Linked DNA regions of Oryzias latipes. The protein of the gene in region 2 interacts with the protein of the main gene of each other region in a biochemical or structural test. Links are inferred from orthologs where the notes say so. Each region holds a gene or a part of one and is shown on either strand. Other genes may lie near its edges.

Evidence for each region. The genes of interacting proteins can lie anywhere in the genome.
Region 1: the proteins of rev3l (region 2) and mad2l1 form a complex in vitro, tested with the Homo sapiens proteins (2 studies listed by BioGRID). The link is inferred for Oryzias latipes from reciprocal best matches to the Homo sapiens genes REV3L and MAD2L1.

What each region holds. Positions count from the first base shown.
Region 1 is NC_019876.2:30,699,633-30,707,997, forward strand, and holds mad2l1 (mitotic spindle assembly checkpoint protein MAD2A), read right to left. Parts: upstream 5,263-8,365; 5' UTR 5,142-5,262; coding exon 5,078-5,141; intron 4,609-5,077; coding exon 4,462-4,608; intron 2,827-4,461; coding exon 2,706-2,826; intron 1,853-2,705; coding exon of another isoform or gene 1,850-1,852; coding exon 1,746-1,849; intron 1,669-1,745; coding exon 1,487-1,668; 3' UTR 1,277-1,486; downstream 1-1,276. UniProt on the Homo sapiens protein: Component of the spindle-assembly checkpoint that prevents the onset of anaphase until all chromosomes are properly aligned at the metaphase plate.
Region 2 is NC_019882.2:10,272,421-10,279,534, forward strand, and holds the end of rev3l (DNA polymerase zeta catalytic subunit), read left to right. Parts: intron 1-1,242; coding exon 1,243-1,357; intron 1,358-1,461; coding exon 1,462-1,599; intron 1,600-1,948; coding exon 1,949-2,139; intron 2,140-2,266; coding exon 2,267-2,513; intron 2,514-2,742; coding exon 2,743-3,041; intron 3,042-3,128; coding exon 3,129-3,255; coding exon of another isoform or gene 3,256-3,269; 3' UTR 3,270-3,718; downstream 3,719-7,114. UniProt on the Homo sapiens protein: Catalytic subunit of the DNA polymerase zeta complex, an error-prone polymerase specialized in translesion DNA synthesis (TLS). Lacks an intrinsic 3'-5' exonuclease activity and thus has no proofreading function.

The DNA.
Region 1 (8,365 bases), on a different chromosome or scaffold from region 2:
GAGGACAGCTGAAGACTGTTTCCAGGAATGACAGAAACCTCACAAGCTTTTTGGGTCCTTCCCAGCTTTATTTTACCATTCAGCAATTTTTACTGCTAATAGAAAACTCCAAACCCCAAAGCCAGTAGAAGGCTTCAGGAGAACAGGAGGGACTTTTGTACCAAACAGGTTTTTAAAGCTGCCTTCTGCTGCCACCGTTTGTTTGGACACTGTAGAGACTAGATGAAGCACGACGCTATATTTTCTACCTTAGCTTTCCTTTTTGCACAACGTGCTTTTTTGACGCCTCACGTCCACAGTCTGTCACACTGGTGGGTGATTTGATATTTCAGAATGACCTGATAAGTTTGTATTTGTTCACAGCAAACACGAAAACGTTTAGTCTTTTATACAGTTTTCACAATGTCTAAACTATTGCATATTTATTTTGTATTTATTAGAGTTTCTATATTGTACGGTTGGTTGAGAGCACATGGTTCTTAGAGGTGACGTTTGATACAAACAATATCTATTTTTTCCTCAGGTGATTCTTCAGAACCAGTCTGAAGAATTTGCTGATGAAAATGGTTCTGAATCTTTCCAGCGTCTTGTGATAAAAGAACCATCTCAATATATTAAAATAACTAAAAACAGTGTTTGTCTTTTTTGCCAATGGCAGCAGAGACCAAGAAAACTGTCGACTTGATCTTTGTCTACACGTTTACTGAAACAACCGGTGCCTGATGGAGATCTGCTGCCCAACACGTCTGTGTCCGAGGCTCTGGCTGACTCCTGTTCATGTAACCCTTGTGCTCTCCTATGGGGTCCAGATGACCCCCCCCCCCCCCCCTTCCATTGAGGTGTTCTCCCTACCATGAAAAAGGGGGATAAAGGTGGAAAGATTTCATGTAATCCATGGACACCAGTGAAGATCACAAATCATTGCAGAAAAAAGGTTCAGAGCTCTGTGCCTAAAGTGCCTAGGATAGCACAAGGGTTAAGGAACTTATAACTTTATGAAAGTTTCACTTTCGCTCAGTAGTTGATCAAAAGTTGTAGAATTTCACCTTAAAATGGGTTAGTCTTCTACTCAGCAGACGGACCCCCCCAGTACAGTGAGGAACCCTACGGTTCTGCCAGGCCCGCCCGTCTCCAGCTCATGATCAGGACGACCACGGTGCAGCACTCATGAACCTGATTCTTTCCCGCTGTAAATTCCCTCAATGCATCGCGTAAATCTACACCCCCACTGAATGCTGGGAGTTGCATCAAAAATGCTCCCCGCACAAAACACAAATCACACTGAGAAAAGAATTTAATGATGTAAAAAAACGAAAGCATCTTCTGAGGGGGAGAAAGATCAGGAAAACACAGATCGGACAGACAAACTAACAAAAAGTTCCATCAGATCTCACTGAGCACAGGTTCGCCTCATCCTCCAACAAAGAAGAAAGTCCAGTCCAGGAAAGCAGGAGTTCCTCATGAGCTCAGAGTAAACGTCTGCAGCTCAGGTGCTGCAAGCCGAGTCGGTCCTTTTGTACGCCACCATGCTGCTCACTTTGTGGATAGAGGTGGTGAAGGAGCGCAAGCGCACCTCCTCTGATTGGTCGATTATCTGAGGCCCCGACTCTTCCCACTTGTCAGGAACCACCAAGTCTTTGTCCGTATACACCAGGAGGTCAAAGGAGCCTGCAAGAACAACTAATCAGAGGGCCGGCCGAGCAGGGAGGAGCTGCAGGAGTCACAGATGGATTATGGGAACTCACACTGCGTCTCCAGCAGAGGCAGGAAGGTGACGGTGGCCGTGATCTGTCTGATGACGGAGCGGATCTCATCCTGAATGGTCTTGATGGACTTCTCTCTGGGAGCACTGCTTTGAAAGGATCAGAGTCAGAGGTCAGCACACAGAAACAAAGGCTGGACTGCCCCCCTACCCCTCTGGCTCCAGCTGAAGGGGCATTTTGGAGCTGTAGTGGTGTCCCACAGTGATTCAAAGGAGGAGCCGTGGTGGATTGCTGGTAGGACGATCCGCGTCACGCTGTGGCGTTGAGGAGAAACGCATTTCCTCACGTGGGTGTGCGCTGAAGCACAGACGTTTACATTTAAATGTAAGTCATGACTTTGTTTATGCGTGACTTTTTAAATAAAACCCATGATGTGTATTTTCTGAGCGCTAACGCAGCAGACCGACTACTATTCATGACGTTGTGGAGCGGTTGTAACGTCCGGATTTGAAGACACTTTTCTCCATAAACTCAGTCATTGTAGCTATTTGGACGGCAGAGCAGCAGCCTGAAATAAAAACCACAGAAACGTTTGCTCCCTCAGAATGAGAACCTGATTTGGAGTACATGCCGAGTCCCAACCCCACAGAAAACCTTTTTTAAGGTTTAAACCGAATCCCAATTCCTCCCAGCTCCTGCCCATCCCCCCTCCAGCAGTTATGGAAACATTTGAACATTACCAGTCCTGGATGGCGTCATCAATAGCTGCATATCTTCTACGTTAGCATTTAGCTGCCAGCGCTAGAGAAACACACAACATGGGTTTTCTAGCCTTGACCTACATTTAAATGTAAACTCTGCTTCAGAACACGCCTATGTGAAGAAATGCGCTTCTCGTCCACGCCACAGCGCGCCGCGGATCACGCTAGCGGTGGTGGGATAGCCAGCCCCTGGAGAAGCTCCTTTCCTCTTGAGACATTTGGAACTGGAGAGCGGGCTCACCTGCTCTCTTTGGCCGACTTGTCACACTCGATGTCAAACTGCCATCGCTCCAGCACCTCGTTGGTCTCCAGGCAGGTGATGACCAGCACCAGCTTCTGCACGCTGCACTCAAACAGCCATTCTGAAACCCAAACCCGCGTTACACGCCTGCTTTAAGGCCTAACACGCAGACCAGGTAAGTCCAGGCTCAGAGATTTGCAGATCACCGTCCCGTTTTACCTGGACCAGGTGTGTCCATCTGGAAAACAAGCCTGTTCTAACATGACACAAGAAAAACCTATTCCTGCTGTTTCAACACCACCAACACACGAACCGAGCTACACAAACGTCTTCAGGATGCTAATTTTCTGCTGATTCTTGATAGATAGCTTGTGGTGTCCCACAAGGATCAATTCTGGGCCCGCTGCTATTCAGTATTTACATAAATGATATATTCAATGTCTCACAACTATTAAAACTCATTATTTGCTGATGACAGATCTATTCTATTCCATTCTACAAACAATCATAGGGAACTTAATGTGGTGAACATAGAGTTAACCCTTGTGCTGTCTTAGATGACCCCACCCTTACATGGATGTGTTATTCCTACCATGACAAAGGTGGATAAAGGTGGAAAGATGTCATGGAATCCATGGACACCAGTGAAGATCACAAATCATTGAAGAAAAAAGGTTCAGAGCACTGTCTAGTGGGTCTAGATGACCCAACTCCCAACGTTAAAGTGCCTAGGATAGAACAAGGGTCACACAAAATAAAATCATGGCTGACGACAAATCCTCCTTTAACCCAGATAAAACTAGTGTGACATATTTTGCTAACTACTACACCAATACCGATGTCTCAATTAAAATAAATGTCTTAATTTAAAGTGTTACAGAATTCAGATTCTCAGGCGTTTTTATCGATGACAAACTAAGTTAAAGCCTCACATCAGACACACACAAAATAAAGTCTCCAAAAGTATTTCCATCATAAGTAAATCTAAACATATTAAAATACGACAGTAGATATTTATTACACTGCTCCTTAATTTTACCATATTTGACCGACTGTGTAGAAATTTGGGGGACTGATTCTAAGAGTTCACTACATCCTCTGTTTACTTCAAAAATGAGCCGTCAGAACTGAACATAAAGCCGGATATCCTGATCATACAAACAATTTGATCAATCCAGACTTCTAAAACTGTATGATCTTGTTGTGTTTTAACTTCTATTCAGAGCCAGTGGGAAATCGTTACCATTCAATACCAAACAACACAAAAGAGTTCTTAGAAAATGAAGGAGGAACAAAGTGAGGGGATGCAGGAACTTCAAGACCAAACTGACAAGAACCACAAAGACAAGTTTGTGTCTCATTCAATCAAGCAAATGTGACTTACGGTTTTAATCTATGCATTTCATCATTTCTGTAATGACTTTGAGAAATCTGTGTAAATTCTTCAATGTTGCGTCTGACCCTAAATTATGATGAACTCTTTGGGCTTTTAGAGGACTTTTGGGCAGGAAAACATCACTATTTAGGCACATCGACACGTGGAAACAACATGAGGTGTCAATCATCCCAACATCCACCTCCATATCCCATAAATCTGTAAAGAGAAACAATATCCCACGCCTCTTGTCTTCAATAAGCCTTTGCTGGACGCTGACAGACAGGAATTGCATCTTGATCATTGCCTCCATGTTAAGAAATAGAAAAATAAAGTCCTAACAGACACGGCCTGCTTTAGGACAAAGAAAGGACAAACTACCTTTGAGTTGAGACACCACGTTGGTCAGGTAGTTGTTCAGCCTGGGCTCCGTGGAGACCTGGAGGCTCATGTCATAGTGAGTGACCCTGGTGAACGTCTCTGGGGGGTAAATGCCCCGCTGGTACAGGATGCTGTTGATGCCGAAGGCTGTGGGGAGGATCACGGGGCTGTTATTAGCGGGGGGGGGGTTGTGACGTTAATTCAGGTCAAAGACTGAGAACACTCTTTTCGTCCACACTACTCTACGTTAGTTACTCAGCCGATGATAAGTAGTTTGTGTCTGTTCAACCCGAAATCTAGCATTCCTACTTTAACTCTGGTGACGCTCGGCTTCTTTACCAGCACACCTGGCGGTGGGCGGTGTTAGAAAGCCGCCATTAACCTACACATCGACCAGAAGCAGCCATTCGATCTTTAAGAAGTTGGCTTCAGAAGGAAGGCTTTTAAAATGCTGCGACGGTTTAGGGCTCTGCCTTCGGTCTGGAGCCGCCGTAAATACACTCGCTGGCTACACACAACAACCGAGCACGCGGGCCCGACCGCCCGCTAGCACACAACAAATGAGGAAGAGCCGTTGAAAAGCCCGGCTAGTACAGAAACAAATGTTGAAACATACAGAAAAACTCGGCCACCAGCTCCGCGCTTCCTTTAAGGGTGATTCCTTTTAAAGTACTCGTCATTTCATGAAATGACAATCAACCGTTGAAAAGAAACGTCGGGCTTCTTGCTGCACTGAAGGCTGAAACTGGTACCCGCCGTCCGATTTGAAAAATCAGTGACAACCTCTACGCATGCGCAAAAAAGACAGACCTCCCCACGTGGTCAACCCTAGACAGGAGAAAATGACTTTTTTCTTTTTTTGAAACTTTATTTATACAACAGTAAACATCACATCGGCAAGTTTACCGTCAGATGGCAAAAATCAATGTTATCTTAAAAAATAAAGAATAAATTATAGTATGTAAATAAAATTAACAGGGACATCGTTAGCAAAAAGGAAAATTTAAAAACAAAAATAAATAAAAATATATTAAAGTATTTCTCAGTAGAGGGAACTATTCATCAAGCAAAAAAGCTCATATTGTTTCAGTGTTATGCCTTGAATGTAATAATCTTTTGAAGATATTAGTAAAATTGATAATCTCTATCAAAAATCCTGTAAAATTGTTTTTTTGGTTTTTTTTACTCAGCACTTATTTAAATAGAAGTAGTAACAAATCAATACTATTTCCTACCAATTGATCCTGCGAGTTAAAATATGTAAGAATGTGTTTGAAATATATAATAATAGTACTGTTCATGCTTATAAATCTTTTCAATTGGATCCAGAATTTAAGGGAGAATTGACAATGGCAGAAAAGGCGAAGAACTGATTTTGGGAAATCATTACAAAAGCTACAGTTATTTCCTATATTTGAGAATTTGAATATGAACATAGTGTGGGGTAAATGTTATGTAGAATTCATTTGTGTATTTCTTTAATTTTGTTATTTATGCCAAATGTTTCTGGCAGTAACTATGCTTTTGTCCAAATGATAGTTAAAATATTATTCCAATAAATTTCTCCTTTAGGTGTTATGCTTCTTTTTTCATATAAAGTAGTAAATATATGTTTGTTGTAGCATTTTTTATTGAAAATATCAATATCATTAATTGTCAATAGAGGGTCTATTTTTAGATGCCTTGTGATATTTAACCCTTGTGCTATCTTATGTCCCCACCCTTGAGTAACCGGCAGGTCGGCCTGTGACAGGTGCATGCCTGCTTGATTGGGGATGTAGTTCAGCTGTTCTGCTTCTTTATAAGGAACAGGGAGTGAGTTGACAGACAGTGGCTGCCTGCCTGCATGGTGGTATGTATGGCTGAAGCTCCTCTTGTCGGAGAATGTAGATCACCGGTTACTCATTTTTATTCTGCTCTTTTAACTAGATTCTGTTAGCGGCTGGACGTGTTGCAGATGTCATGAGCCACTGCGTGTTCTTTACCCACCCTTATTATACATTTTAATGTGTTTTAGAGTGGTGCTGTATTTATTGTGTTGTTGACTCTGATTCCTTTTTATTGTTGCATAGGTGTGAGTCGGGCGCCAGTGCGTGTGGTGTTGGTGAAGGGGCCCCTTGTGGCAGCGTCTTCCTCACTGTATTTATTTCCTTTTTAGTGTGTAGTGGAAGTTTCTTTGGCACGTTTTTCTTGTGTGTGTGTGTGGATTTGTTTTCAGCACGGAGTGGAGTGAGGTGCGCTATGTAATCCATGGACACCAGTGAAGATCACAAATCATTGAAGAAAAAAGGTTCAGAGCACTGTCTAGTGGGTCTAGATGACCCAACTCCCAACGGTAAAGTGCCTAAGATAGCACAAGGGTTACGGGGAGAGGTCATTAGTTGAAATAATCCTGAGGGAAGAGCTTTCATTACAATTTTCAATTCTTTTTGCTTGTTATTGGAAAATATTTTTTAAGAACCTGTCATAACCCAAAAGGGTCTTTTATTTTTTTAAACCAGTGTGGTGAAAAATTATGTAACACAGTGTACTGGGTGGCTGTGGGGTCGCGTTCTAAGTTCCGGTGTTCATTGAACGCATCAAGCAGAAATGCTGATTGGCTCTCAGTTCTGTCGCTCAACCTGTAGTTGGGGAGTTTGGTCCAATAGGGTTCAGCTATGGCCCGAATAAGGAAATGGGGCTGATGCAGGAGCAAGGGAATAAAGTTTGGGGGAGTGCTCTCAGCGGGAGGATACAAGAGTTTCTGGGCAAGTTGTGCAGCATTGGTTACAGCCTACAGTAACCAGAATAAATAACCTTAACCCTTGTGCTATCCTAGGCACTTTAACGTTGGGAGTTGGGTCATCTAGACCCACTAGACAGTGCTCTGAACCTTTGTTCTTCAATGATTTGTGATCTTCACTGGTGTCCATGGATTACATGAAATCTTTCCACCTTTATCCCCCTTTGTCATGGTAGGGAGAACACCTCAATGGAAGGGGGGGGTCATCTAAAATAGCACAAGGGTTAAGAGATTAAGTCTCCGTGCCTCAGTGTGTGGGAAAGGGACGCTACAATTGCATTACCGGGGCAGCTCTTTCGGCCAAGGCGAGCAATTAAGAGTTCTGGCTGTTGACATCGACAGATTAGTTAACCAGATTTATGCTCACATGCCCCCAGCCATTCAGGAAGAGCTAGCCCGGGACCAGACGACCTTCGCGTTCAAACCCAACCAGCGCACCGTAAGTTACTGCAGGAGGCCCTGGAGCTGGCCACAGAGAGAAAAATGCTGTGGAGGCCCTCCTCCAGGGTGGAGCTTGAGGCCCCTCCAAAGGTTAGAGCTGCAAGTGTATCAGAGCCTGACACCAAGGGGCCTGCACGGGCAGAGGAGCTGACCCAGCTAGTAAAAGCTGTGACCCTGAGAAACGAACAGGCATCCAAGGTCCGCCCCCAAAGAGACTGGAGCTGACCCAGGACCTCCTGGGGTTGTGGGAAACCTGGGCACTTGATTCGTGACTGCCCGGACAACCAAGGAAACAGGAACGGGACCGCATAAGCGGGACAATGTGGCCCCCTGAAAAACCATCCCGATTGGACCCACAGAAATGGAATGCTGGCCATGTGGGGGTCAAAGAAGTCCCATCTGAGAGACTAATGACTTTGGGCCGAACCTGGGTTGGTGACTGCTGGTTCACAACTATGAGTGTTGATGCAGCGTCATGCTTAGCTTTAGTGGACACAGGTTCATCTGCAACACTGCCCTGCAGTGGTGAGGAATAATGCAGCCATCCTTCCTAACGCTGTAACATTACAGACTGTTACTGGAGAACGGACTTTCATGCAGGGGGAGGCTGTTGTGACTCTGGAGGTGGGAAACCAGCAAGTGAATTGGCCTGTGTGGATTGCTGACTTGGAAGAATGCTTA
Region 2 (7,114 bases):
TAGATTTCTTTTGGATCTGACATTTTTGGACTTTTGACTTGTTGGTTCTACAAGTTAGATGTTGAAATCATAAGAAACACAAATGGGAATTGTATTCAGGGCTACTTTTGAACCGTTGTGATTAAAAACTGTGGATTTTGGAGTGTAACCCAATAAGTCTTTGGGTGTTTTAGTGATCTGGAAAAGATTTTTGTGTTTTCTGCATACGAGAGACTGAACAAATCTGGAATTTTATGACGTGTTGAAGCCAGTTGTTTGCTTGTCTTTCATTGACTTCAAACCCATTTATTTTTTATAAAATGGGAAAATTGACCAAATTTGGGGTGTGTTCTGAAAGGTTAAGGGAACAAACCTCCAAGACTATTTTAGCATGTGTTAATCTAATCTCCGCGCCCCCACTTTAGAATCATTTGTATTCTAACTATAAAATTATGAGGCTCAAAATAATTCATTCCCAGAACAATCATTCCTGATTCAAATGTATCCACTGAAGGGAAAAGGGCGTTGGAACCAACATGACGGGTTAGATCCGTTTACATTGAAGTGAATAGAGACAGGCTTGATTTTCTATTATGCCATCTAGTGCTTAAACCATGAAGGACTTTGGCTCCACCTTCTTTGGGTTTTAAACCAGCCTCAAGGCTCAAGGAGGAGATGAAGTTGTTATTTACTAGGAGATCTTCTTTTGCTTCATCATGACCTTTACTGTGGTCTTCATGAACCCCAAACCTGATAAAGGATCATCCTACAGGTTCTGAAGATGTTTCACCTGGAATTCTGAGTGGGGTCTATAAATCTGAGGTTCAGTTGGAGGTCAGAGACGAATGAATGGCGTCGTTTGTGTCACAGTGATGCCAATGCAGAGCTGTGCAGAAGCAGAACGCTTTGCAAAGGGGCATCTTCAAAGATAGGGATGGTACCAGGATTTGGGAGTCTTCTACAGTAATTAGGACTGAGGCAAGAGCTGAGCTGAAAGGCAAACCTGTTGATCTTTGTTCCAACCTTTGAACAATTGACAGATCAACATGGAGAATTTTAGCCTCAGATGAGTTCACTTCCTTGGAGAGGACCTCCTCCTCACTGGCAGAAGTCCGATTGAAGCTTGTAATAATCGTCTTCACACCTTTAATTTTCTGTTTCATTGACTTGTGTGTTGATTAGTTGCTGGATGGAAGTAACTGGATCTCTTGTCTCTGATGAGAAACCGTTTGTGTAACGACACTCCTGTTGTGTTTCTGCCAGCATGTTTGTTCTACTGAAAGGAGCCACCAAAGAGCAGGCCTTCAGGATCGGGAATGAGATCGCCGAAGCCGTCACTGCCACCAACCCCAAACCGGTCAAGCTAAAGTTTGAGAAGGTAACAGTCTTCTAGGAGCTGACGCCGCTCCTTCAGGAGGACGCCTCCACGTTTTTATGTTTTTGGTTCCTGCTTGGCGTGATCCTAAAACCCTCATTCTTCAGGTGTACCTGCCGTGCGTGCTGCAGACCAAGAAGAGGTACGTGGGCTACATGTACGAGAGCCTGGACCAGAAGGAGCCGGTGTTTGACGCCAAGGGGATCGAAACCGTTCGGCGTGACGGTTGCCCCGCTGTTTCCAAGGTAACCGGCTCCTTCTGCCTCCATCTTAATTGTGCTGTCAGGCTTCTGCACACACCTGTCGGTTCTCATTCAACACAGAGTCTTTGAACTGGTTCCTTTGGTTTAGTATGTAGTTTTCTAGCTGTGGGGCTGAGATTCCTCCCAGGTGTTCCCACCTTTGACGTCAAAGTCCCCATTTTGATTCAGGGACACAACATAGTGATTCTTCCTCTCTACTAATATCTGACCTAGACTAAACCAAAAACTAGATTTTTCTAAAGTTTAGGAAAGAGCAACGTGGATCAACACAGATTATAGATTCTCCATTATTTAGTCACTCTACAAAGGGTTGTATGTTTGTCGATTTCAGATCCTAGAGCGATCTATTAAGCTGCTGTTTGAGACCCGGGACATCAGCCAGGTCAAGCAGTTCGTGCAGTGTCAGTGTCTGAAGGTTCTGGACGGCCGGGCCAGCATGCAGGACCTGACCTTCGCCAAGGAGTACCGGGGCAGCGGCTCCTACCGGCCGGGAGCTTGCGTCCCGGCGCTGGAGCTCACCAGGTGTGTCGCGCAGTGAAGAATCTGACATGGGTGCGGTTCTGCTGGTCCATCTGTTCAGCAGAACCAGAGAAGCCCATGTCCATCATCAGGGAACCAGCAGCAGAACTCAACGCTTGTCTCTCCTCAGACGGATGCTGTCCTACGACCGGCGTTTGGAGCCGCGTGTGGGCGAGCGTGTGCCGTACGTGGTGGTGTATGGGACTCCTGGCGTCCCCCTCATCCAGCTGGTGCGCCGCCCCCTGGACGTGCTCCAGGATCCAACCCTGCGCCTCAACGCCACTTACTACATCACCAAACAGATTCTGCCGCCGCTTGCCCGCATGTTCCAGCTGATAGGGGTGGACGTGTTCAGCTGGTACCAGGAGCTGCCCCGGGTGAGGAGCCAGCAGGACACGGGGGGGCTTTTGAGCTTTCCTTTAAGAAGCATTGAAGGATGGAGAAGCAGATCTCTGGGACACTGCTGCCCCCTGCTGGCAGAGCTTCCTAACGCACTGCAGCAGTTCCTCTTTCTAACTGTACTACATCATAGACCGATGAATATAAACATCTTCCTCTGATGGGTTGTGGCATGACTGAATGGCTGTTTGCTCCACCCATCCGCAGGTCCAGAAGGCGTCATGCTCGGCGGCGGCAGCAGGAGACGAGGTGGGCAGGAAGGGAACCATCTCCCAGTATTTCACCACGCTGCACTGTCCCGTGTGCGACGAGCTGACTCAGCTGGGAGTGTGCTCGCAGTGCCGGGCCGAACCGCAGCGGGTCGCCGTCACTCTGTACCAGGACATGAGGCAGTGGGAGAGCCAGCAGGAGCAGCTGCTGAAGGTGAGGACGCTCTCAGGAGCTCTGGACTGTGAGACGCCGAAGGTTTGCTCTTTTGAGCTGCACTTAATGAAGAAGATGCGAAGGTTTCATGTCGGTTTTCCTTTTTCCCCCTCTAAAAAATGAAATGAAACCAAACACTAGATTGTCCTGACAGACCTGTTTGTGCTCAGATCTGCAGGAGCTGCAGCGGTGGCACTGAGCGGCAGGTTCCCTGCATCTCCCTGGACTGTCCCGTTCTCTACAAGCTGTCTCGGGTCAACAGGCAGATTTCTAAGGCGCCCTACCTCCGACAGCTGATGGAGCAGTTCTGATGAGCCCCTGAAAGCCAGCTAACTGGTGCTAATGGCCTCCCCTACTCTCTGGTTTTTAACCAGGAGTCTGTGCTCCTCAGGGGGTTCTTTACAGATCAGCCTGATAGTTGTGAACACAGGCTGATGTTTAATGCATTCTGTTCAAAGGGTGCCCTTTTCCTCTAACTTTCATGGAGCTGATGATTGTCCAGAATCATCCGTTTGTTTTATAACTGTGGGACTGTTGCAATACTCTTAATAATTTATTCTACGCAGAGTCCGTTATTTCATTGTGGTTTAGTATCTAACTGTTCTGAAAGCAGGCGGAGACGGAACCCTCAGCTCCTCTCAGATGTGCGCAGCATGTGTGTGTTTGTATAAATGTACAAATTCAAGTGTTTTTGGTGGTTTTTAATGGATGATGCTGTGGGTGAAGGTGTCAGACTGAAAATAAAAATGTCAAGTATTCAGTTGTTTCCCTTATTCAAAGTCTAACTGCATGGTAATAACCCTTGTGCTATCCTAGGCACTTTAACATTGGGAGTTGGGTCATCTAGACCCACTAGACAGTGCTCTGAACCTTTTTTCTTCAATGATTTGTGATCTTCACTGGTGTCCATGGATTACATGAAATCCTTCCACCTTTATCCACCTTTGTCATGGTAGGGAGAACACGTCAATGTAAGGGTGGGGTCATCTAAGATAGCACAAGGGTTAAAACCCTTGTGCTATCTTAGATGACCCCACTCATGTAATCCATGAGTACAACTAATCACTTAAAATAAAGTAAAAGCGTTTATGGACCCTCTGGCTTGCCATATCTGAACACACAACAGCAGATTTATCATCTGACAATCAACCATTAGGACATTACACAACAGTTTGCCCGTGTGTCCTTCAAAAACCTTTGGCTCTAGTTGGGGTTCCACTCAGTGTCAGGACATCAGGGGGGGCCGGCTCCAGGCCTGGAGGGCCTTCATCTGGATGGTTTTCAGAAACCCCTCAAGGAGGACACCGTCTTTTCTCTGTCCAAGGAGCGCAGCAGTTTGTGTCTCCGCCTACAGAACAGCCCTCTGAGGACAGCACTTCGCCTCCACCCGTGTCAGCGGGAGGTGATGCGTCATCTATATCGATGACCTCAAAGTCAGCATCATTCCATTGGTCAGCTTCATCCTCCTGTTCCTCCTCCTCCCGAGTCTATCAGCGCCTGTGTACTGTAGAAATGTATGTTTTTGTATCTTATACTTTATTAGATTGCAGCTTAATCTTAAGTGTGAAGTGAACTCATTTTGAACTCTCAAGACTTATTCTCCTGTGAAATTTCTTTTTTCTTTATGACTTCAGCGGCAAACTTTTCTCCTGCACACCCCTGTGAAAGAAATAGAATGTTCTTTGTGCAAATCTAGGAGTTTTGCAAAGACCCCATAAATATGCCATGGACTGCATTTCTACCATCTGGGTTGAAGGTCTTATCCCTGGGAAAGTGTTCAGATTCGTGTTCTCATGTGGAGGTTGGAGCTAACCTCTGCCCTAATGTCTGTGATGGAGTCTTCGGTTATCTGGGAAGGATTTATTAGGCCCTAATAGGGAATCTTTTCATGGGTGCACCGGGTGCACCTTCCTATCTGGTCCGACGACAGAGAGGAGCAAATCCAGAGGCTGCTATTCCATCTATTGGCCGGTGAGAGCAGGCGGGCTATATGACGAATCAGAGCAACCAGGGGCGGAGATTCGGCCGCCACGATGTTTCCTGAAGGAGGAGTTTCAACACACATGTTAAAAGGACTATTTTGGAAGTATTCTATTGTTCTCAAGAACACCTACGAGTAATTCGCATGTAACTTATGCGTCTGTAGGCCTTTTAACTTGAGAATCCAGATATCTGCAACAATGTGTTTTAATCTGTGTTAGAACTATTTGTTATGGCAATAAACTTTGTGTATTTTTAATCCGGTTGAATCCGTGGTCTGTTTTACCTCTCCCGACAATTGAACACGCATGGATGGAAAGATCTGAAAAGCGGAAAGATTCTTTCCTACAATTTTGGTGACCCCGACGTGATGTCAGGGAGCGGAACCGAATGGAACCGAACGCGGATCGAACGGACCGGATTATAGTGACGTATTTTATGAGATTCCTGAGACTTTCGGCGTAAAGTCAGGGGACCGCCCAGTAGCGGTTCTAGGCACGGGCCGTCCGGGCGGTGGCCTGGGGCGGAAAACTGAAGGGGGGCGGCACCGGCGGCTCAGCCCTTGTAAAATATTATATGCACCACTATTGGTTAACTTATGTCACAGTTTGTGAGTTTGTAACAGCCTGAACCTGGCCGCGCCGCCGCCCTCGCCCCGCAGCTGTGCGCTCTCCTGTCTTTGAGAAGTAGACACAAATGTGTGTGAAGAAGAAGGGAGGGGGCGCGGGGGGAGCACGGAGCACCACCGCGTTTGCGCATGCGCAAAACCTGGCGGGCTCATCTTTCAGGGGAGGCGACGGTCGCGGGCTTGATGAAAAAAATAAAAGTAAAAACTGCGACTGCGCCGTCATGTAGCGAATCAGCGCCCCTGGCTATAGCTGCACGCGCTCCTGCTGGAAATGTGTGAAGAAAGGGGGGGGGGGCTGCGGGGAATCAGTTCAATTGTGGGACGCTTCCAAATTAAGTGGCTAGGTGGGGACAAGGGCGGGGGTTTGAATCTACTTCATAAAACCTTTTTATAAGTCAGTCATAAGGTGACATTCTATAACCTACACTTTAATAAAGGTATAGAAAATATATTCTGCTTTTTTTGGGTTAATTTTGTGTTAAATGCCCAAATGAAAAAATGGCAACACAAAACAATGCTGTCACTAAGGTGACAGTTGGTTCAGTCGACGGACTTGATGTCTTCTTCGTGACGTGAGGACATTTATGCCAAACAAACGCCAAAAACATCTAAAATATGGAGAAAAAAAGGTCAAAGCCATCTGGTGCCCAATTTAGAAAGAAAAGAAAAGAAGAAGAGGAAAAAAGAGATAAAGAAAAGGGTAAGTCCTCACAGCTTGATGCATGTTCTTTCTAAATTCTAATGCTACCTGCCCTACAACAATGTTGCCGATGAAAACTTTATTTTGGTCGATGACCAACACTGAAGTAGGCCCAAATGTTGCAAATAGCGTCATTTTTTTTTTTTTTTTTAGATTTTATTCTTAAAAATTTGCTCTGCCTTAACTTGTAACATTAGTTATGATTCATGTGTCTGTCTGCTCTGCTGTAACACAAAGGTTTTGTTGGGTTTTGCTGTTGTATACTAGTTCATAATGTTAAAAAAGCTGTGATGGTTACACAGCATGCTGCTGCTGCCATAAGATGCTAATGGGGCAAATAATTTGAGATTGGTCTTAAATTTAATAATCGTTTGTGGCAGCCTAAACGTTTTCCCAATGTTTTTTTGACATTTAACTGGGGATTTAGGGGTTAATTTTGAGCCTGCATATGAAGTTTATTTTTTATTTGTTTTACAAATGTGGGATTATATTTTTAGCCAATAGAATTTCCATAAATCTGAAGGTAGTTTTAAAAATGAATATTTACCATTTACTGCAAATCTATGGGGACAAAACATAATTCAACAGGTCATAACTGAAAATTTTCCAATCAAAGGATTGAAGACGGAAAATATGAGCTAATTTTTCTTCTCTGAAGTAGAGATCGATATAGAACATGACAATTTAAATTTCCAATTCATAAATGTTTTTAAAATATTTATTTTATATTATTTATTTAATATTGATTTAATATTTCTTAGCTAACTGTATTTTTGCCATGCTTATGGTCTTTTATTTTTTGTGTTCTGATAACTATTATAATGCTGTTCAGAATTCTGACATCTTTT